Lytechinus pictus: one gene and its partner. The protein of the gene in region 1 interacts with the protein of each later gene in a pairwise test. Links are inferred from orthologs where the notes say so. Each region holds a gene or a part of one and is shown on either strand. Other genes may lie near its edges.

What was found.
Region 2: the proteins of dr1-associated corepressor-like (region 1) and protein Dr1-like interact in a two-hybrid assay, tested with the Drosophila melanogaster proteins (2 studies listed by BioGRID, with this or other methods). The link is inferred for Lytechinus pictus from reciprocal best matches to the Drosophila melanogaster genes NC2alpha and NC2beta.

What each region holds. Positions count from the first base shown.
Region 1 is NC_087251.1:39,084,720-39,096,869, forward strand, and holds the start of dr1-associated corepressor-like, read left to right. Parts: upstream 1-6,413; 5' UTR 6,414-6,551; coding exon 6,552-6,593; intron 6,594-12,150. Other genes in the region: mucin-2-like, read left to right, coding at 30-101, 703-753, 982-1,053, 1,368-2,426, 2,597-2,695, 3,106-3,195.
Region 2 is NC_087259.1:25,481,894-25,493,362, forward strand, and holds the start of protein Dr1-like, read right to left. Parts: upstream 4,702-11,469; 5' UTR 4,448-4,701; intron 1,957-4,447; 5' UTR 1,948-1,956; coding exon 1,719-1,947; intron 1,401-1,718; coding exon 1,237-1,400; intron 1-1,236. UniProt on the Drosophila melanogaster protein: Bifunctional basic transcription factor. Activates transcription of DPE (Downstream Promoter Element) containing promoters while repressing transcription of promoters which contain TATA elements.

The DNA of each region.
Region 1 (12,150 bases):
AAGATGTTAACATCGTGTACTTAATACAGGACACTGGAACTTCTCCTGTATATGATTCCATCACAAAGGAACACAAGGATACATTACAATCTGACGAAAAGGTATAGTATTTTATTGATCTAAAAATTTATTTTAGCTTTAGAGCAAAGAAACGGTTCATAGTGAAGAATTTGCCATTTAATGGGATTATGAATACAAAAATGATTTTGATGATGATGATGATAATAATAATAGTAACAACAAAAACAATGATATTGGGTTCGTACATATATATCGCTCAGGTCTGTCAGAGTGTCAGATATAACTCTCAGGGCACTCCACGATATTTTTTTCTTTAGCCTAACTGTCTAAAGGGCGCTTTAGCATTTCAAGGAATCAATTCCTGCCGAATCTCTATTTACCTCAACTGAGTCGAATGGGGCATAATGTAGATTGATCAACTTAAATTATTTGATATTTTAAAGATCATATTTTCTCCTTGATCCTAAAGTTAAGTGTTTGATACATAGAAGGACAATTATTCATAAAACGGACTACAACAACGTAAAGAATCGTGTTGCATACACGATCCAAGAATTATTCCAATCTAACTTTCACCGTCAAGAACACTGTTGTCAAAGTTTACACTTCTTACTGTTTACGTATAAATTGAAACCTAATTTTCATATCAAATAAACTTTGCTTTTATTTCTTCTGTCATAGCTTGTTGCTCCAAAAGGAGGATATTCTATCTTCTCTGTGAACAAGCGACCGGTAGGTATCTCAGAATGTATGACCGTAGTTATTATGAGATGGATTTTAAATTCTTTATAATGGTAAATATCATCATACATTAAAGCAACGTGAATTATACTCTACTGCATATGATTTTTACCAAAATCTGATTGAACATGAATATACATACTTCCAATAGATAAACAATGATTTCTTTTACATTATTATGACGAGTTTACAAGTTAATGTAATTGTTTCTTCTATAAGGACACACCGTCTTCTTCCAAGAACACTGGCATGGATGTAACGGATCAAACACAGACCAATTCTGTGAACAAGGTAAGGGCATAAAAAGCACACATTGCACATAATTTACCAAATCAACTTATTTGAATTTTCATAGAGTTTCATTAAATTTGTTTGAGTCAATGTATGAATATATAAATATGTTTTGTTTGCACAGTTAGCTGTTTTAGTTTCAGTTTATGAATAAGTTTTAGCAGGGTATCTTGTCCATGGCTATAGATATTACACTCGTACTTTATTTAATATATTCGCATTTTATTGTAAGAAATGAAATGTCATTTTTCATATAAAAACGAATATGAGAAAACATACTTTAATAGTTCTTTCTATTTCATTCCTTGTAACAGAAGCAATCCAGTGGTAAGAATGCTTGCAACTTCCTGCCAAGGATCACACCATCCATCGAATCCACTTTGTCATCTTCTTCTTACACCATCAAAGGATCCGACTCTGATGCCAAACTGGCCAACTTTCCTCTGGAGAACCTGCCAGCGACTTGCAAACCCTATCAACATCAAGAGCCTCTGAAGACCAAGGCCCGTTGTGAATCTGTATATGATGCGGGATCTGATGATAAGGTGAATGAGACCTTGGCTGGTGAGAATCCGAAACAGATGGCCATCAGATCAGTGGATGACTCTGTCTTTCAACCTAAAGACACAGATGAAACCGAATGTTATAGCCAGGTCAACGGCGGCACCAAAGTGAGGCTTATTAGCGTGCGACCAGCTCAACATGCCAACTCGCCGTTAATGAACACTGGAGAATCCGATTCTGATTCTGAGGTACCCGAGATCCAAAGCCAGAATAACAGCGGCACTCCAAATGTGAGGTTAATTCAAGTAAAACCGGCCAAAGACCCATACGTGAAGATCGCTACTACCAGGCAATCTAGACCTGCCGATCAAGCTTTGGAGAAGAAGAGTTCAACTAAGGAATGCAACAACACCGTCAGCAGTGCACGCTTCATCACCGTAAAATCAGTGCACGAGCCTCTGCCAACCTTGGCTAATCGTGTATCTGCTGCTCTAGTCCAGAAAGCCCTTGATGCTACGAATGAGACCGTCCCAGAAATAAAATCAGTTTCTGACGATATTACAATCTCCCAGCCAGAGTCTTCTTCCTTGGCAACGAATGACGTGCTCCAGATCAAGAATCTCAGACCTGTTGTAGATTCTCAAACGTGGCAGTACCCGGTTCCTCCCCCTAAGATCCAGAACTGGACCACCGAGCCCCTGGAGCAATCAAAGAGCCAAGTCACCAACATCGGACAAGGAAAAGTTTCTGATGAAAATGTCCTCAATCTAGACAATGGACATCCAACCTGTCCAAGTGAAACAGATATTGCTTCAACATCTGGGGATCACGCTCTTGTTCCTGTGGCCAATGGAGGGGACTTTTCGAAGGTGATTTATGATTTTTTTCTTCAAATGTCAGGCTTTTATTCTTTTAACGTCACTTTACATAATATTTAATTAAAAAGTGCTTTTGGGCTTTACAAGAGACGCCGTGAAATTCTCTTTTGTACTTGAAAATATTTATTTATCTAGTGTTTTTTCTCATATCCTCTATGTAGCCTTCTAAAAAAACCCGGAAGGAGCCTTCACAAAGACGATTCCCCAAATCAACCAACCCGGGAATGACAACGGATACCTCTTCTCATAACCAAAAAATGGTAATTACACAATCCGAATCTATTCAGTGTATTTTCATATGAATTTGTTTCTTTACTGTTAAGTGGTGACTCTATAAAAGATATATTTCATTACATGTTTAAAACAATCCAAAACATCTAAAACATTTCGATTACTAAAGATTATTGAAACCTAAACTTTGTTTAGAAAGGTTTGAAATAATCTTATAATGCTGATTAAACATTGGAAAAATTGTGTGATTTTGATGATGTCTTTATGTAACACGTGTCAGTCGTCAATGCATGTACCATGCAAACCAACTATATTTTAAATATCAACTTTCTATACCATGTTTTTAATCGTATTTCACTTTTTCCAGCAGCTCATATTTTTGAGATCTTCTTATTCTCTTTTATTCCTTTTCATCCTTTTCATATTTCCTTGTCTTTAGGCTATGGATTCAAAGACAAAGAAGAAGAAGCTCAAGAAATTCCTAAAGCTCGCACGCAAGCACAAGAACAAGCCTGCGAAAGCGGATTAGGAACTATCAGATCGCTTCAACTATACTGCAATGATTGAAAACAAACCGGATACCTTTGGGTCATAAACAAACCTTCAATTCACCTAGAATATTATCCCATAAGAAAAAAAATTGGCAGGTCTTTGGATCATTTACCGAAACTGAAAAAAAAAAAAAAATTCAATAAGTCTTAGTTACGAACTCAAAAATACAATTTATTTTGTTTAGGAAAAAGGCTAAATATGCAACAGGTCATATACAGAGAGCCACTGTTAACTGAAGCAATCAGGGGGCTTTAATTTCATTAAAAACTGGCAGAGTTATGAATGATGGTTACAAACAAATGCAGGCTTGTTCATTTATTTCCAAAAGGATAATAGTATGTTATATTCTGATCATAGACAACTTTATTTCAGTTCTGATTTTCAAAGAGAATTTATTTTGCAGTTTGAGGAGTCCATTGCCATACTCTTCAACCACTAATGATTAGTTACTTAAAAAGTCATATTGAAATAATTCAATGACGAATCTTGAACATACTTGAAAATTGAATTCATTTAACTTAATGAAACAAGAATATTGTTAACGAAATGTAATTTTGAGAAGTATGCATACCTTATCTAAATAAAGCTCAAAAACAATCTGCAGATTCTGACATGCCATACTATGAATCAAGCTATATATGATAATGGAAATGCTTTGTTAAGTCTCATTCTCAATAAAGAAATATTAAAATAATCAACGTTTAACACGTTCTTGTTTCTAGATGTGTGAAGTAAGCGCATAATGTGAGTGTGAGTTGGTTTGTTGGTGTATGTTGGTGAATATATGTGTGCATGCGTGACACACACAAGTTGGCTTGGTTTGGTATATTCATTTTTTGTGTTTTTTTTATATTTTTCTTCTGTAAAATCTTCTGTTTTTCTAGCAGTGTATAGAGTAAATTAATTCTAAGGATCGATCATTTTTAAATCTCAAATGATTTCATATCAAAATGCATCGGGCTTTAAAACTAAATATTCATGTTTCAAGCTAGATCCAGAATTCGATTCGTCCTTGACTACAATTCCACCATATATACATACATATATTTTATATATATATATATATATATATATATATATACATATATATATATATATATATATATATATATATATATATATATATATATATATATATACATATATGCACTTGAGGCCATAAGTTTACATACACCCATGGAATTTAGTGAAATTTGTTCGCTTGCCAAACATCGTAAAATTTACTTTATCTTCAGAAAAAAATACCACCATGACGAATTTGGTATCAAAATAATAAAAGAGCATGTTAATCTCTTTCACATAATTGGAATGCCATTGGGATTAAAGTATATTTCAGGTGGAATTATCTTTGAATAAAAAATAATATTTGTTCCAAATGTATTATGTTTGTTGTTTTATTTTCAAACATCGTTTCATAGAAATATAAAATGTCAAATCTTTGATTTATATAACATTTTCTATCATGATATGTCACCATTGAACAAAAAAGTGTAATAAAAAATTTTTGTGTTGAGAATTAACTAGGTGACAAATATGAAATGTTTTTGTTAAGTTTTTATTTTTGATTTTTCTAAAATATGAAGATTTGGGGGCAAAAATGACACCTAAATATTTTTTAGCAACTGATGACAAAGCAATGTAATGAAGGGGCATGACATACTCACTTGTTTGATATCAAATTCGTCATGGTAGCACAAAATTTCATAAGATACTGTACATTTTATGATTTTTGGCAAGCGAACAAATTTTGATATGAAATCATTTGAGATTTAAAAATGATCGATCTTTAGAATTAATTTACTGGATTTACTCTACACTGGATATGGATCACAGTTAAAAAAGAGCCTATTATGTTTAATTATCATTACTTTGAGTCTTGACATAGGACCGGAACATTCTAAGAACATTATGTATATATATATATATATATATATTCAATAAAGAAACATCTAAGAAGGGTAAAAAAAGTATCCATGTATTTGTTTGATAAATAAGACTGATAAAAAATCTGACAATGTCCCCTTCCTCCCTTTCTTCTCTTTCTCCGCTTAGCTTCATTCCCTAAAATGCGTCTATCACTATATAATGATATGAATGCGTATGCCCTAAAATAATCCTGATGTGGAGGACGTGTAATGAAAAGTATTTTCAGGGTGAATTTTGCGACTTTACAAGAAAACTTATTTTGATCGCGTGCCGGTCGGATCTATATTTCGCAGTTTTCCTTTCCTTTTCTCCCCTTTTCTTCTCTCTTTCTTGGTCATAGAATTATTTTTTGGGGGGGTATACGGCTCCCAACCCTCATCTTTATGCCAATGTTTACATCTATTTTGGTAATACCAGTCCTACTACTTTAGTGAGGGTGATTTACCATCAAATTCCTTCAGATATATTGAAATCGAAACTGATAAAAAAATCAGATCAAACGTTTCCTTGCAATAACAAAAAAATTTTAAGCTCCGCTCTTGTAATTAAGCATCATAATTTACTCAGGGGCGGATCCAGGAATAGGATTTCCCGGTAGGATTTTCCAAGGGGGGGGGGGTTCCGAAGAAAAATGAAACAAGCTAAAAAAAATCCGCCAGTGACCATAATAATACCCAGCTTACCATTATAAAAGCTGCTCCATCTTTCTTTAAAGTTACCAGAAACAAAAGCTTTTAAATTTGTCCTATTTTTTCATTAATTGTCAGTGTATGCGAGCCCGTAGCTTAATCTAGGGAGTAGGGACGTACTGCCGCGTCTTAGAAAGAGTTTCATTAACATAAAAGTCATCTAAAAAATAAGATTTGACAACTTTCTTGATTTTTTTTTAATGGGAAGCACAGGCGTATTGCTTTGCCTATATTAACTATCGAGTAAAACGACGGAGATGTATTGCTGTATTTCTATTAACATAAAACAGATCCTACTGTCGGATTAAAATATCCAACAACAACAAATCCTTGTAACGCTCCCTAGCTCGAGCTCAACCTATTAAGTAACCTTGTGAAGTTCTTTCAGCCCTGAGGAATGTTTCATCAACATTTGTCATCCGACAAGTTGTCAGGTCTGGCAAGTTTCTTGATTTTAATTGATTGCAAGTGTCTGTTTCTACAAAATATCCGAAAAGTTATTTCATGAAATCCCCAGGGCCCAGGTCTGAAGAGTCTTTTGCTCTCACAGCACTTTTTATTTCCCATTTTCTTCGCCCTAGATAAGACACCATAGAAAGATTGACACGAAGGAATTTGAGAAAGCGCATCCCGAATACTGAGTCGGTATTTCCTCCTTCATTTATCGGCATTTTCTAAGAGTTGGGGAGCAATCTGTGGTAAAAGAAAGGTTTTTAAAATGCCAAGCAAGAAGAAGAAGTACAACGCAAGATTTCCACCTGTAAGTAACAACGGTTATTCATAAATGTACACTAGACCATCGTGTCCACGTAGCAGCGGCCCTCGATTCCCGACTGGCCGACCGATGCGTGATGCCTGCATGCAACCGGCTTGGGGCCTTGACCGCGGGGAAGCTTCAGGCGGTGTTTCGGCGGCGCGGCGGAGCTCGAGATCTTGAACTTTTTTGAAGATGTGCCGGCTTTGTCTGACTGAAAATTCGAACGATAACGTCAATAGCAGAGCCGAAATATAGCCGATCGCGATATTTAGGAAATGAAAAAATGAAAATCCATATTTTATTGTTCGAAATAGACGTGAAATGAAATACTCCGAAAATTTGCTTTGCCCAATTGATCATGGGCCCGGCAGCCGCTGTGCAGCGCCAGATCGACAAGGCTCTATGTCTATCCCTTTAATCATTGAACGCCGAATAGGGTAGCAGCAACTCCCATCTTTTAACGTCTTTTGGTCTGACGCGGCCGGGGTTTGAACCCCCAACCTCCCGGTTGTGAGACGGACGCTCTACCAACTGAGCCAACACACCGGTAACAAAACTGGGCATATTGTTTATTGACCTCGAAATGTGACTGATACCTCGTCTTAACCTAGAGTCTACTGTTTTGGCCTGAAATGCACCAAAACTGGGAAAAATTTAAAAGGGAAAAACTGACTTACTTCGGCTGTCACGCAACTTCACTTCCCTGTTTTATTTGAACTTAATACATAAACATATGGGGCCTGTTGCATGACGAGATGAGCGATACGTAGGAACGTCCTAGGACCATTCTTCCGAGATATAAAGATTGGCGACAAATCAGCGCTTTCCGTTTCACGAAGGCAATTTTGTCTTCCAAGTCCGCGACATCATTTGATATCGATAGTATCGGAAAAATATTTAGTCTTCAACGTCACCTGAACATGTTATTTCTGAATGACGACTTTACATAAAATCCGATATTTCAATAAAAGGAGATCAAATAATGTTTTATTTATTACTGATAGTAGAATTGATGTATGGAGCTTACTTTATGAGGTTAAAAGAGAAAAAACTTTAAAGATTCACAAACATAACTAAAATAAAATTGAAATTTTCATTATTTCCCTTATTTAGAACACGGTGTCTTTTTAGAGACACCTTTTATTGATATTTCAACGAAAGAGACCCTTGTCCGACATAAAAATTGATTTAACTATGTAATTTCGACATTTATTAGTTCAATATTCTGTATTTTTATAGAATACTTGTATATAATGATAATTGTGCAAATTATGTGTTAATATGTTATTTGTTGAGGTAAATATAGGGTTTGAATGGAGTAAGCAAAATCAACAGTGTCTGATTGTATGAGACTAAGAAGGAAAATATGAGATACGAGATGGCGGACACGAAAGCAAAAAATGCATTGCAGAAAAAAATTGAAGTCAACAACAAATTATCTTTAACAGAAATAAAACATCTCATTTTCAAAAGATACACTCTAGAATGGCAAAAAAGATGGAATGAATCCCATCGCCTACTTAAACTATACCATCCCACTGTTAACTCTCCCTTTTTTTGTTCCCTAAGTAGATTCCACGAAACCATTATCCACAGACTCCGTTTTGGTGTAATAGGATTGAACTACGATTTAAAAAGACTTAATATACACCCCACGGGACTTTGTGATACATGTAGGCCCAACAAATTAGAAACAGTTGAGCATTTTTTAATCGAGTGTCCCAAATATATAATAGAGAGAGCCATGCTACTTACAGAAACAAATCTATCAACCCCCCAAAAAATAATGGATCTCTTAAAGAGTACTAAGGTAGAAACCCAATCTGCATTGGTCCGTTTCGTTCTCAGAACGAAACGATTATAAAGTCTGAATTTTCTCCGCCCCCTAATTTTGTATTTTTTATTTATTTATTTATTCATTATTATTAATTTTTTTTTCTACAAGAGTTAAATCTATGAAAGGGAGACACAAAGCAGAAGAAGATGCAGACACATGGTCGATTTTTACTCACTTTCCTATGGTCCTATACATTTTGATTATATATGTCATTTTACTACATCGACAACAGATAGCCCGTAACCGTAACGCGGAGCTCAGCGATCGTCGTGGATCCTGTTTTTCTCTTTTTTTTTTTTTTTTTTTTTTTTTTTTTTTCCCTTATTCTTTTTTCCCTTCCTTACCCTTTGCTAATTATCTGAGTTCTTTAATTTGGTAATTTTGTCAGGGGGGACAGAAAGGAGTTAAGAATGAAGAGAGAAGTTTTGTTGTTTATTTGTTTGGTTTTGTTTTCAAGTTTGTTTGCTTGTTTTTTTTTTTTTTTTTTTTTTTTTTTTTTTTTTTTTTTCACTTTCCTCCCATACTTTAGTTTTCGGTGTCCCGAAACCTGAAGTTTTATCAGGCCACAAATCCAGTTTACTTTTGTTTTCTCTATTGCAGCTTAATGTAGCAGAAGAAAATACAACGTGCTGCAAGAAACAGAACGCATAAAAAAAAGAAAAAAAAGGAAAATTCTTATTTTAAAAGGACAAAAAATACAATATGTCTATATAAGAAGAAAAGAAAAGAAAAGAGAAAAAATGAAACAAGAAAAGAAAAAAGAGAACAAAAGAAAAGAAAAAAAAAAAAGAAATGAAAAGAAAAAAGAGAAAAGAAAAGAAAAAGAATAGGAAAAAAAAGAGAAGAGAGAAAAAAAAAAAAAAAAGAGATAGGAGGAAAAAAGAAAAAAAAAGAAAAATAACAAGAAAAGAAAAGAAAAATAACAAGAATAACAAGCTGTTGAAAATGAACAAAAGCTGTGGCAAAAATAGTCAATCCTGACTGGTTGCCAACCAAGGAAAGAAGAAGAAGAAGAAGAGGCTGCATGTGAAAAATCTAATTTATTTATTTTATTTGTCAGATAAAATGCAAGAAATACAATGTGAGTGTTTAGAGTATAAACATACCTCAGTTGCATGATGAGTAACATAAGAAAATGAAAATATGAAAATTGCTGCAAACATGTCCAAGTGGATAAAGTAGTACTTTGCAATAATAATTAAAACATAGAAAAAGGTGTGAATCAATCCGCAATGGAAAAAATACTTTTACAGAAATAATGCTAAATATGACAACAATCATAAACGCTGGTCATATTTAAAGATGATCACTTATTTTATGGAAGTTTATATTATAGATATATGGACTGCTTTGAGAGGCATGGTTGTTTCTAGAGGCTCAAGGGGACCGCAACGCGACTATGCCCGAGGGCTTTGCCCGAGGGCATGGTCTGGCCGATGCGGTACCCGCGAGCCGAATTGAAACAACCATGTCTCGAATATAAAAGCAGTCCATATATATTTTATGAACCGAATTATTAAACATAAACGTTAGGGCTTGGTCTAGGTTTAGATCAAGTAAAACTAAAACAAAAAAGCCTGCCCCTGGCCTAGGCCCAAGGCTAACGTAAGGTCTAGGCCCTTACTTAGCCCTGCCCTGAAGTTAGGTCTCAAATCGAATATCAAAGCAGTTCCCGAGCAGTTCATACCGATAGGCCCTACTAGGCCTAGGCTAGATATTTTTAGGAACCAAATTAGGGTCTGATTCTGAATAGGGTCTAGGGCCTACAGTGTAGCTAGATCTAAAGTTCAGTCTTAAAATTTAGACTAGAGTATAATCTAACGTTAGATCTAGTCGACTAAACCTACGTCCTAACGTTAGATCTAGAGTCTACTCTTAACTTCTAAGCTAACGACAATTAACATTAGATCTACCTGTCCTAACGTTGTCGTTTGTCAATACCTAACTGTCCCAGGCTAAGGTTAAGTAACGACATGAACGAGTTAAACGTTTATTGTTAGAAAGTGCAGTGACCGTCTAATCTTTTCACCTGACTCACCTTTTGCGAGCATGCATTTGAGCGAACTTCCCCAAGACTTGATGATTGATATACATCCGTTATGTCCTTAATAAGCTAGTTTTATTTTCAATAAATGCCATATATTTTAACAGGAATTAACAAGCAAAAGTCAAAGATCGGCATCGTTCCATCGATATGTCATATCCGTTGCGCGCACTTGCGCAATAAGCGCGTAAATGCGCGAATTGTTTAAAACTTTCGATCAAATCGCGCGGATATTTATGGTATCCGTAATCACCGCAGAAAGCAACATTTTGCATGCAATCAAATGGGGATTTCAGCCAAATTTTGCTATGCCCGTCGTTAAGGGGCGGATCAGGGGGCAACGGGCAGAAATCTTGTTAACTATGCCCGTTGCCCTTGGTTACCACCTTAGTTTGTTGTTTTGAAGGCATGGTTGTTTACATGACCTCAGTTTTGACCAATCAGAGGAACGGATTATTCGACATTCTTAAAGAGAGGTTTATAAAAGAATATAAGGTTTAAGAAATAACATAAAAGATTAAAAATGCGCCTCTTCGTATGGACTTTCCATAATCTTTTCTTTAATGAACTTATCTTCATTTGTAATGATTGTGATGGATTCGTAAGCTATAGGCTTAATCTGTATCTTAAATTCAATATTAGCTGCAGGTTTTTTGTTTTGTTTCACTGTTTCAAATCCAACAATTAATTTTCATTGATTAAAATAAATCTCAGCAAAAAAAATAATTATAAGGAAAATAAAATAAAAATAAATAAATGATTTAGCATGTTTAACATCTTAGTTTTGTTTGTCTTGTTTTTTTTTTTGCTGAATGTTATTGAACACGTTTTTTACCTTACATAATTTCTTTTAAAGAAATTTGTTGTTTATTTTTAATGAGAAAGCATGAGGGGTCGGCTAAAGAGATATAGTGCCGCCCATTTCAAGTATTTCAAGTTTATTTTTTTAATAGAAAAGGGGTGGGGATAAGACAGAGGGAGAATAGAAGAAAACATATTTTAAAAATATGATTTGGCCCTATACATTACCTCCGGGAATAATACATGTACCCCGGAGAAGTTAAAATGACATCCGTTTTTGGTCGTCCTGCCGTGCAAAAAGACGACCTGAAATTGATGACAACTAGCCCCCATATAAAAAATAACTTGGCGCCATCCCAGATAAAATGCATCAGAGTGCAACCAAAAAAATGTTTAGAGGTGATATGTCAGTGTGGCTTGCCTTAAATGCATTTTCTCTCAATGCCGACGGTGGCGGGCGGTGTGCAAAGAAGATCATGCCTACGTAGGACATGTCTGGAGGTGTCTTTCCAAGGACCATTCTTCGTATCGCCCAAATCGGCTTTGTGAAACAGTTGAGCGATATCTCGTTCTTACGTAGAATGGTCCTACGAAAGACCCTTGCATGCAACAGGCCCCTGGCCATTTAGTCCCTGTACAGATCGAGCTAGAACTTTGGTCTCTATATTTGGTGAGTGGAAACAACGGAGTTTAGCGGAACAGCCAACATAACAGAGACCGAAGCTTTTGGTCTAGTCTTAACCTAGCCTTGAGGACTCCATGATGATGTTTTTTAAATATTTTGACATATACTTCTCCATCCTGATCATTGAGTCTTGAATCGCTTGCCATATATGTATAAGAGACTGACCAAAACATAGATGGATTTCCCTAGGAAA
Region 2 (11,469 bases), on another chromosome or scaffold:
GATGACAAGCTCTCATGGAAGCAAAATTGTCTATCAGTACAAAAGAAAACAAATCAAAGGATGCTTTTCTTGCGAAAACTTAGAAGTTTTCACATCGATAAAACTATACTGAAACTGTTCTATCAATCAATCATCAAAAGTGTAATAACTTGCAACCTGGTATGTACTTTCGGAAATATGTCAAACGAGCAAAAACAAAGAATAGACCAGATTCGACAAATTGCACAAAGGACGATAGGCATGGATTTGTCCCCTGTCCAAGCAATTTACGAAGAACGCATACTTGCCAAAGTACATACCATAATGGCAGACAAGACCCACCTCCTCAATAATTGGTTCCGGTTTAATGGTTCAGGAATACGGCTGTGTCCCCCCCCCCCCCCCCCCCCCCCCGCACACGCCTTTCCCGCTACCGGTACTCCTTTATTCCTGATTCTATACATGTGTATAACTCAAAAGTAACATGATGAGATATCTTCTTCTTCTTCTCCTCCTACTCAGTTCTTCTTCTTTTTCCCCTTTTCTCTCCTTTCTTGTTCTTTCTTTTCCCTTTCTTTCTCTTCTTCTTCTACACTTTACCTTTCCCTCCAGCTTCCTTTCATATTTTCCTACATATCTATCACTCTCTTATGAATGGGTGTTTTGTAAGTGTCAATTTATGATGATTATATACCGCATACTAGGATGGGGGGGGGGGGGTGGGGTTAGCAGCATGCAGACATCTCATCACCTATTTCTTATAATTTATGAATTTCGAATCATGAATTCTAAGGGTTATCAACCTATTGTAGAAATGTTTTCACTAAAGTTGTATTGTTTTTTTATGTAGAGTTAGATTGCTATGATATATTTTATTTTGCATTTTTGTGTGTATGTTATGAGTTTAAAGCCATTGGAAACTAAATTTCTCTGTATGCCTAGCATTCATGGACCAATAAAACAATCTTGAATCTTGAATACTAATATCAAATATTCAAATGCTTCTCCATTACATATTAATGGGCTCTATTAAAGAAAAGATACAATTGTTCAATTACTAAAGCATATCTGTATTAATCTATGGCAGACCATAAAAAAAAATTCACTATAAATTGTGGATATTATTATTAAGTGTAACTCTTTATGTTACACTATTACCTCCCCCCCTAATTAGGCTCCAAATGGCAAACTTTATGTATGTTCTTCCCTTTTGTTGAGTTTATAGTAGCCTTTGAAGTGCAAAGCTGTTGAAAGTACCTTTTCAAAGAGCTCCTGCTGTTGTCTAAGGAGTTCTTCTTCAGGTATACCAAGATTCTCAAGACGAGTGCTTGCTTTCCTCTTCTTTGCTGCCACCGTCTTACATTCCTCTAGAACTGACTTGCACTCTTGCAGGTAATCTCCAAACCCTAGGCTGTCCAATGCTGCAAATCATTTAAAAACAAACAAGAGAAAACCTAAAATTGTGAGCATAAATTTTGACAATGAATGCATGCATTGCACGATGCCAGTCAAATTCTACACATTTTCATTCTGGTCAAATGCATTAACAATGTAACCTGTTAGTGCCTCTGGTGGATAAAGCTTTTCATAAGTTACGAGTGAGTTTACGAACGGCTTGTAACGACATTAGATTCTCATAGGTATTCCTTTAGTTTCTCATCCCAGGTAACCAGTTGTTGTAAATTACTCCTAACTTATGAACAGCTTTATGACCCATCCCCTACTCTGAAACCATTTACCTTGAAGCGCATGTTCTGGCGATATCGTCTTCTTGGCCTGCTTATTGCAAATATCATTTGCTTCTGATGAAACCAACTGAATAAACTCAGTACAGCAATTTAAAATGAGTTCTCTCGCATCATTAGCAACTCTGACATTGGGTAGTAATTCCTTGATCATCTTGTTAAGAGGGGCACGAGGGACAGTTAGCTCATCCTCTGGAAGTTGAGAAGATTGTGAATCTGCCATCGTTACTACCTGCAAAATACGGTAATCAATAGAGTTACATTTATATACTGTAATATATGGTATTTCTAAGCGCTTTACATTGCAATTACTATTACCCAAATAATTGGAATTATTTCAAACACTCCTTGATATATAAGGAAGGAATACCATAACTTTTTTTCTACAAGTATATGTAATGGGGCGATTCCATACGTGTCGTACGGGACATTTTGTCAACAATTTCTAGTCTCTTAGCTGATTGCTTGAGCAATAAAAAAATTATTTTTGGTCAATAATAAAGTTATAGCGGATAGTCATGTGAAAACCTGATTACCGACAAAAAATATTTGATTATGGCTGAATTAAGGGCAAACAAGTTGTGTGTCGACCCGTACGGGACTCAGAAATGTCCCGTACGACACGCAACAGTTTCATCTCTAATTCACCCATGGACAGCATATATTTGTTGGTTGTCATTTTTCATATGTCTACCCAGTAGTACTCTATTATTACCACAAAACAAATTTAAGTTCTTTGTTTGTTTGGACAATAGGTTGAAAAATGTTGCGAAAATAGCTGATTTTTCTAGCATGGAATCGCCCAAAGGCTTCTTGACTGACTACAGGGCTCAAATTAAGAATTCATTGGGGCAATGCAAAGGGAAGGAAGGCAGTGCTCACTTCAGAGGGCATCCAAGGCCATTAAAACAGGGTATCAACAGTAAAATGTTCTTTTCAATAGGACACATGCACTGGATTATCTCAGGGAACAAAGGCCATATTATTTATTTTGTAATTATCTGTGTTACTGTTTGAATATATTTTTGTGTCATTATTACCTTGTAATACATTGCAATTCGGCCTTAGCCACGATGATGTCATGATTTTTATCAATAAACCATTTATCTATCTATCAAAGACAACAAGAGTGTCGCTAAGGCGAGCACATAATACGCCCGCCTGTAACGCGGAAAATGGAGTTATGGTCAAGCAAGAAAAGTGGAAGGTAGCGACTTCACCTTTGACCTTCTGACCTCAAAATCAATAGAAGTACTGGTAATTACTGGGATCTATGCTAGTTCATACACAACAAATTTTATGAGCCTAGGTTAAGTTCAACTTAAGTTAGCGCATTAACAAGGACTTCAGAAGGGTAAGATGAAAACATGTCACTGTGATCTTGACCTTTGACTTTTTGACCTCAAAATAAATAGGATTCCTGGGATCCATGCTAGTTCATACACACCAATTTATATGAGCCTAGGCTAGGTTAAGTTAAACTAAAGTTATCATGTTTCAAGGACTTCAGAAGGATAAGATGAAAACATGTGAGTGTGACCTTGACCTTTTGACCTCAAAATCAATAGGCTTCCAGGGATCCATGTTATACACACCAAATTATATGATCCTAGGTTAAGTTAAACTAAAGTTAAAGTAAAGTTATCACATATACAAGGACGACAGAAGGGCAAGATGAAAACATGTCAGTGTGACCTTGACCTTTTGACCTCAAAATCATTAGGCTTCCTGGGATCCATGCTACTCATACACACCAAATTATATGAGCCTAGGTTAAGTAAAACTGAAGTTATCGTGTTTACAAGGAAAAGTTAACTGACAGACGGAAGGACCAACGGACACCGAGCGTGATACCATACGTCCCGTCTAGGACAGGCGTATAAAATGAAGGAAAAAAAATTGAACTGAATTGAATTAATTCATTTCAAACCAAAGTAACCAAACATATATTGTTTATCATATGCATCACTATAGTAATAGTATACATCAGGGGCCGCGGATCGGTTTTCAAAGTGGGGGGGCTGAGCCAAAAGTGGGGGGGGGCTGATCATGCTAAAAATCACAATCATATGGTCATTTTTTCGTTTTTGTACACGGCTTTGGAAAAAAGTGGGGGGGCTGAAGCCCCCCCAGCTCCCCCGGTTCCGCGGCCCCTGTACATTTACAGGAGTTTACACATCCACTGTTTATAACAAGACTAGAGTAGAGTCAAGAAAGAATACTTTTTACTTCAAATTTAGTTCAATATAAAGTCTTTAAACTTAAGTCTAACTTGTAATGTTAGACTAAGTCTAGAGTAACTAATTAAGATCTATCTTTGACTTTGACTTTGTATCGCCTAGCCCTAACGTTAGGCCTATTATTTCTCTCAAATTTTTGATTTTATGAGGATTTTTGGCACACTAACCATGCTAACTCATGAGAATATAAGGAACACTATCGACTGATTTTTTTTGTGAAATAAAAATAATAATAAAATCATTTATAAAATTATAGGTGCGCAGTCACAGAATTGTGATATCCCCATTGGAAATGTGTGCACAAGAAATTGCACACGCCAGCAATAGAAATGCCATGGTGGTCCGGCTGCAGAGGCTGAGGCCTGAGCCTCTGAGTCTGACTCTGAGGCTGAGCTGGCTCAACCCACTCGGCAAAAAAAAATGAAGAAATAAATAAAACAAAATAGTTTTTAAGGCATGCAATTTGAATCGAACCAACTTGACCTTGCTAAGCTGACGACACCTTGCTATGAAAACGTGCCTGTCCTGAAACCCGAGTTAAAGCTGCAGAAACAATCGAACGAGAGCGAGATAAAGTCAAGGCCGGCGGACCAATCGATGATGCGTCGGTCTCTATGCCCAGGCTAGGCGCGGCGCGGCCAGCCAGACCAGTCGGTCCGGCTGCGGCACCCGTTGTCCCCGAGACCTATATTACGTCATATGTGTTATGGCTGCACTTGGAAGAGCGACGGTCCGAGCCGTTCAAGGCAAGAAGAGGTTAATTCCTCAAAGGGCTGCTTTAGTTTTGGTGAGTGATCGAGATAGCTTTTTAATTTCCATCTCTTTTCCTGACCGTTAGTTTGTGTTTTTAGTGAGTGCAAGAGTTTATGAGCAAATTTGAGACAGTTTAATGAGACATGATTCGTACCGCGACGGGCCGGGCATGCGCATGCAGCAGAATAGGCCATGGGGCCTATCCTACCGGTACATAGCCTCTTGTCGAGGCCCTGTCGGCTTCTTTCCGAGCGAACATGGCAAAGCACGGGAGAGAGCGAAGCAGAGCGCCGCGAGACAGGGCCTCTGGACATCTGTACCGAATTTCACCGACTTTCTTTTGTTTTTTATTGTTTTTACCAATTCACCGACCAAAAACTGGTCGGTGAAAATCATCCAATGAGGAGCGCGAGCTGCTATGACGTCATATTAAATATTCATGAGCTCCTCTTGAATGGCGACCCTTGGATTCTTGGCGAAGAGTGACGACGAAATATCAAAGAGCACTGAATACGCCTCTAAAACGCTGAATATTGACCGATTTAAGGATTTGCAAGTCGATGAAATTAACTCTGCACTGAAAGGACGAGATGTCTTTGTAAATCTACCCACAGGATATGGAAAAAATGTAATATTTCATGCGATTCCACCGGTCGATCCGGGGCGTCGATTATCGATCTCCGCTGTGCAGTGCAGTGAGGGAAGCTGGGGGGAGTTGCTGGGAGTTGACTCGAGTCTGACCAGCGGCTGAGCAGTATCTCCCGGGAAGTTTCGGGGCGGTGATGGGTCTGTTACGGCCAGTAGTAATAGTAGTAGTAATAGTAGTACCACTACTTGTAGCATTTTGCTGGTTATATCCCCTTTATTGTCCCGCAATTAAATGAATCCCCTGCAGAATAGTGGACTACTATATAGTATTCCGAACCCAAGACGAAACAGCTCTGACATTTCATTGGTTTACTCGGTGACCGGTAATATCATGACTCATGTATATTCATTAGGAAGACGTTCCTCATGAATATATAATTCAGTTCAGATGTCAAGAGGCCCTGGCTCGCGCCAGGCCTAATTCGCTTCGCGAATTAGGAAAGCCCTCGCTTCGCTGGGGAAGCAGCCGCCAGGGCCTCGACAAGAGGCTAACCGGTACACGGCTCCGGCGGTGCGGCGTAGTAGGCGGCTACGGCCTACGCCTGCAAAGTGCAGGCTGCGCTGAGTCTTGCATCATGTCGTCGTTGTTTGCTCCACCATTACGGGCCCAGTGGCCGTCATCGGTCCATTGATGGAGGGAATACCGTGGAGTCAGGGGCCTGTTGCATGGAAGGGTCTTTCGTAGAACCATTCTCAGTAGAGGCGCTGGTCCAAAAATTGGGATTGTCCCAGAAAACAAGGATATCCTCATAAACCAAGACAAATCATGTCTTGATAAATTGAGACTGTCCTTGTTTATGGGGACGTTTTTTTTTCACTTCCCCCTACGGGACAAAGACAGCAATTACGGGAATTGTGAGTGCTAAAAATAGATTCAGTGACCTCAATTCCCCCCAGTTCACCGTCTATTTTTCATGACTTACCGTCTTCCAATAATCATGTTTTGAAACCTGATAATGTTTACATTGACTAGCACACTTGATTGGTGTCGGCACTTGACAGGTGAATGAACTTTCCTAGATTTCTTGTGTGAAGAAATCCTTATAAACTGAGACAGTCCCTGTAAACTGGAACGATCCCAATTTTCTGACCAGCGCCTCTACTGATTCTACGTAAGATAAGAACGAGATATCGCCCAACTTTTTCACAAAGCCGATTTGGGCGATACGAAGAATGGTCCTTGGAAAGACACCTCCAGACATGTCCTACGTAGGCATGATCTTCTTTGCACACTGCCCGCCACCGTCGGCATTGAGAGAAAATGCGTTTACGGCAAGCCACACTGACATATCACCTCTAAACATTTTTGGGGTTGCACACTGATGCATTTTATCTTGGATGGCGCCAAGTTATTTGTTATAATATGGGGGCTAGTTGTCATCAATTTCAGGTCGTCTTTTTGCACGGCAAGACGACCAAAAAACAGATGTCATTTTAACTTCTCCGGGCAGGGTTGGCACGTTTTAAACGGTGTGTTTTAAAACATGTTTTAAAACGCGTTTTAAAACACCCGTTTTTTTTACAAAAAAACGTGTTTTAAAACACCGCATAGGCTTGTGTGTTGTAAATTTGCATGGATGTGATTTTAGATTAATTTTTTAAATACTTTTATTTCTGAAGTGGTGTACTATTTTCTTTTAAGTTATAACTAATAAAAACTCTTTCTCCCAACTCTCTTTCTCTTTCCCCCTTTATTCTCCCTTTCTCCATTACTTTATCATGTTTCTTTCCTCCCTGTTCAATTGTGCACATCATTCCATATTAATAGAGTCTATATCTGAGTGTTGTGCTCACTTTTTGGACAGGGAAAGAAACACTATTTGAAATAAGCTCAAATACATGTATACTACATGTAATCGTAGTACTTCAATGAAATGGAAGTGTTGCACAAGCCTATATACTGTAAACAAATACAATGTAGACTGTAAAACTGACATTGTACTCTTGAAGTACACACGAAAGCAGGTGAAACTTTGCGCTTTGTATAGATGAAGAAAAGTAATTTAAACAGAATAAGATAGTCAGCTAGCAAACCTTAACCCTAACAATCCAAGGGGACCTTAACCCTATCTTAACTGGGCTATTTCAGACCGGAATATACTGATTGCACAATAACCGCAAAAATTTGCACGCGCGTAGAGCCGGATGTAAACTTCAAGACTGCATAATAAAATTTTCCCAAAAATTGATAATTTATATTTTTTTATTTATGCAAATAAGGGTATGAAATTTTGCCTAAATTAGTTTTTTTGTGTATGTATTTGCCTTTAACTCAATTTACGTAGCTAGTAGAATGCTAATTTCTGGTGGCAGTATCAATTTTTTAAATTTTTTTTTAACTCTTATGTATTTCTTTGTTTTTGAAACTTTTGTTTTTATTGTTTTTTCAAATGAACTTAGTCGGGGACCCTTTTGCAATCATAAATAGCATGAAATAAATCCATTTAAACCAAAAGTAAAAATAATCATACATTTATGATTTTTAGTTGAAAAACATAATTCAAGGCTCGACATTAGTGGTGGCCCGGTGGCCCGGGGCCACCAAAAATTCACCTCGGGCAACCATTATTGATAAAATGTTAAGTTTTGGTGGCCCGAATCGGGCAACCAATAATTTTCAAAGTAGCGCAATTTTTCTCCCAATTTTGCACGCATTTATCAACTTTCTACAGCTCAAATTGCAAGCCAGTTCGTCATGCGCCTTTTTTGTTGATCTACACACAAATACACACACACACAGTTTGCATATTAGGCCTACAGCTATAGCATACAGTAGCTATTATCCAGCCAGCCGCGCCGGCCGGCTGGCGTGAGCTTTGCATGAATCCACTGCATACAGCTGTACTGTGCATGCTCTAGATCTAGCTCAGCCTATTCAGACTCAGGGAGCTGCGATAAAAAATGTTGCTGCTGAGAAATCTTCCACAGAACTTTGAAAATCTAAGTCAAAGTCACCTTTTACACCAATGAAATGCAATTCTACAGTCTATATTACGAAAATCTGGTGTACCCTGATTATTTGCAAGTATTAAGAAGAGGAATTATGACCTCTCTTTTGACTCAAAAAGACCGATTTCCACATGAATTAATACACATAAAAACACATAGGCAAGTACATCACAGTCCCACGTGTGCATTTGTATGTATGTTGATACTTGGTTTCTTTCGAAGCTGTGTATTTTCTAGCCTTAAACAAACAGACAGTTTCTTTCTTTCTTGTTTATAAATGACTTCTTAAACCACTCTTGAGAAAGTAAATACTTTGGGAAGGCATTTCATTGATATGAAATGAGATTTTTTCCCCAACATTTTGGCAAATGTAGGGAAGGACTTTTCTCACACTTTTTTTCCAGATATAGTTTTTGCCGTTTTCTTTTTTTTTCTTTCATTTTTTTTTGACAGTGGTTAAACCATTTATACCCCTTCCCATTGAATATGCCTGATTAAAAAATATGTTTCTACTGAAAATAAAATAATACAATCTAAAGGATATAAAAATAGAAATGTGCCATTCCCAAAAGGTAAGTGAAAATTATATGCTTGGCTTTTTATTATATTCCAGTCAGAATAGACTTGCCACAGCTGTTAAAAATATATGTAATGGCTTCTTAATTTTCCCCTTTTCTCCATTTTTATATTAACTTTGTTTTATTAATTTTTCTTTCATTCTCTTTTCTTTTTTCTCTCAAATTTTTTTCTTTTCTTTTTTTCTTTTTTTCCCTGTTCTTTGTTTTTTTCTTTCTTCATTTTCTTTCTTTTGTGTTATTTCACTAATTTCTTTTATTATTTTTGTTTTCTTTTTGTTATATACTTTTTGAAAATTATTTTCGTTTGTTTCTCCCTTTTATGCATTGTTCTAATTTTGCAGCATATTTTTCTGTGATTTTCTCCTTCTATAATATGCTGCATAAGAGAAAACAGAAATAAACTGGATTTGGGGCATGCATAATCTAGGTTTTAGGATTCAAAGAGGAAGGAAGGAAAAACCATTGTTTTGTACATCTATCTGGGTTTGCTATGCACTATTTATTTACTTTACCATTATCTCTATACAGAGATTTTAAAAAAAGTCCACACAACCTGCGAACAATACAATTCATTTATTCACTTTCAATCATTTCATTTTTACAACGATAGAAACAATTATCAATTAGCAAAGTAAAATAACAGCAAACAAGGTTTACATGCAAGATGTATAAAGTGAAAGGAACTTAGTGGTAGTGGCTGCAGAATTAATATTTCAGAAGTTTGTTTTATTCATTTTTAATGTTTTTCTTTATATTTTTCGGGCCACCAAACTTTAATATCGGGCCACCAAAAAAAAATATTTGATGGTTTTGGTGGCCCGAACGGGCCACCACCAAAAAAAGTTAATGTGGAGCCTTGCATAATTTGCATATAGACTTTCAACACGGAATCACATTTTTGAGCAATTTGCTGAGAAATCTTCCACAGAACTTTGAAAATCTCAGTCAAAGTCACATTTTACACCAATGAAATGCAATTCTACAGTCTATATTACGAAAATCTGGTGGACCCTGATTATTTGCAAGTATTAAGAAGAGGAATTATGACCTCTCTTTTGACTCAAAAAGACCGATTTCCACATGAATTAATACACATAAAAACACATAGGCAAGTACATCACAGTCCCACGTGTGCATTTGTATGTATGTTGATACTTGGTTTCTTTCGAAGCTGTGTATTTTCTAGCCAAAAACAAACAGACAGTTTCTTTCTTTCTTGTTTATAAATGACTTCTTAAACCACTCTTGAGAAAGTAAATACTTTGGGAAGGCATTTCATTGATATGAAATGTGATTTTTTTCCCAACATTTTGGCAAATATAGGGAAGGACTTTTCTCACACTTTTTATCCAAAATCACCAGATATAATTTTTGCCGTTTTCATATTTTTTTTCCTTTCATTTTTTTTTGACAGTGGTTAAACCATTTATACCCCTTCCCATTGAATATGCCTGATTAAAAAATATGTTTCTACTGAAAATGAAATAATACAAACTAAAGGATATAAAAATAAAAATGTGCCATTCCCAAAAAGTAAGTGAAAATTATTTGCTTGGCTTTAAATAATTATATTCCAGTCAGAATAGACTGTTGCCACAGCTGTTTAAAAATATATGTAATGGCTTCTTAATTTTCCCCTTTTCCCCATTTTTTTATTAAGTTTGTTTTATTAATTTTTCTTTCATTTTCTTTTCTTTTTTCTCTCTAATTTTTTTCTTTTCTATTTTTCTTTTTTTCCCTGTTCTTTGTTTTTTTCTTTCTTCATTTTCTTTCTTTTATTTTATTTCACTAATTTCTTTTATTATTTTTTTTTCTTTTTGTAATATACTTTTTGAAAATTATTTTCGTTTGTTTCCCCCTTTTATGCATTGTTCTAATTTTGCAGCATATTTTTCTGTGATTTTCTCCTTCTATAATATGCTGCAAAAGAGAAAACAGAAATAAACTGGATTTGGGGCATGCATAATCTAGGTTTTAGGATTCAAAGAGGAAGGAAGGAAAAACCATTGTTTTGTACATGTATCTATCTGAATTTGCTATGCACTATTTATTTACTTTACCATTATCTCTATACAAAGATTTAAAAAAAAGTCCACACAACCTGCGAACAATACAATTCATTTATTCTCTTTCAATCATTTCATGTTTACCATGATAGAAACATTTATCAATTAGCAAAGTAAAATAACAGCGAACAAGGTTTACATACAAGATGTATAAAGTAAAAGTAACATAGTGGTACTGGTAGTGGCTGCAGAATTAATATTTCGGAAGTTTGTTTTATTCATTTTTAATGTTTTTCTTTATATTTTTCGGGCCACCAAACTTTAATATCGGGCCACCCAAAAAAATTATTTGATGGTTTTGGTGGCCCGAACGGGCCACCACCAAAAAAAGTTAATGTGGAGCCTTGTTTATTGTTTGAACTATACAATATTTCAATTTTTACGAATTTGATGATTAGAAACTCCTTGCCTGAAGCACAAAATGTTAAAATAATGGAATTCCACGTGTTCAGGGAGGAATGAAACTTCATTTCACATGACAATGACGAGAAAATCAAAATATTTCATATAT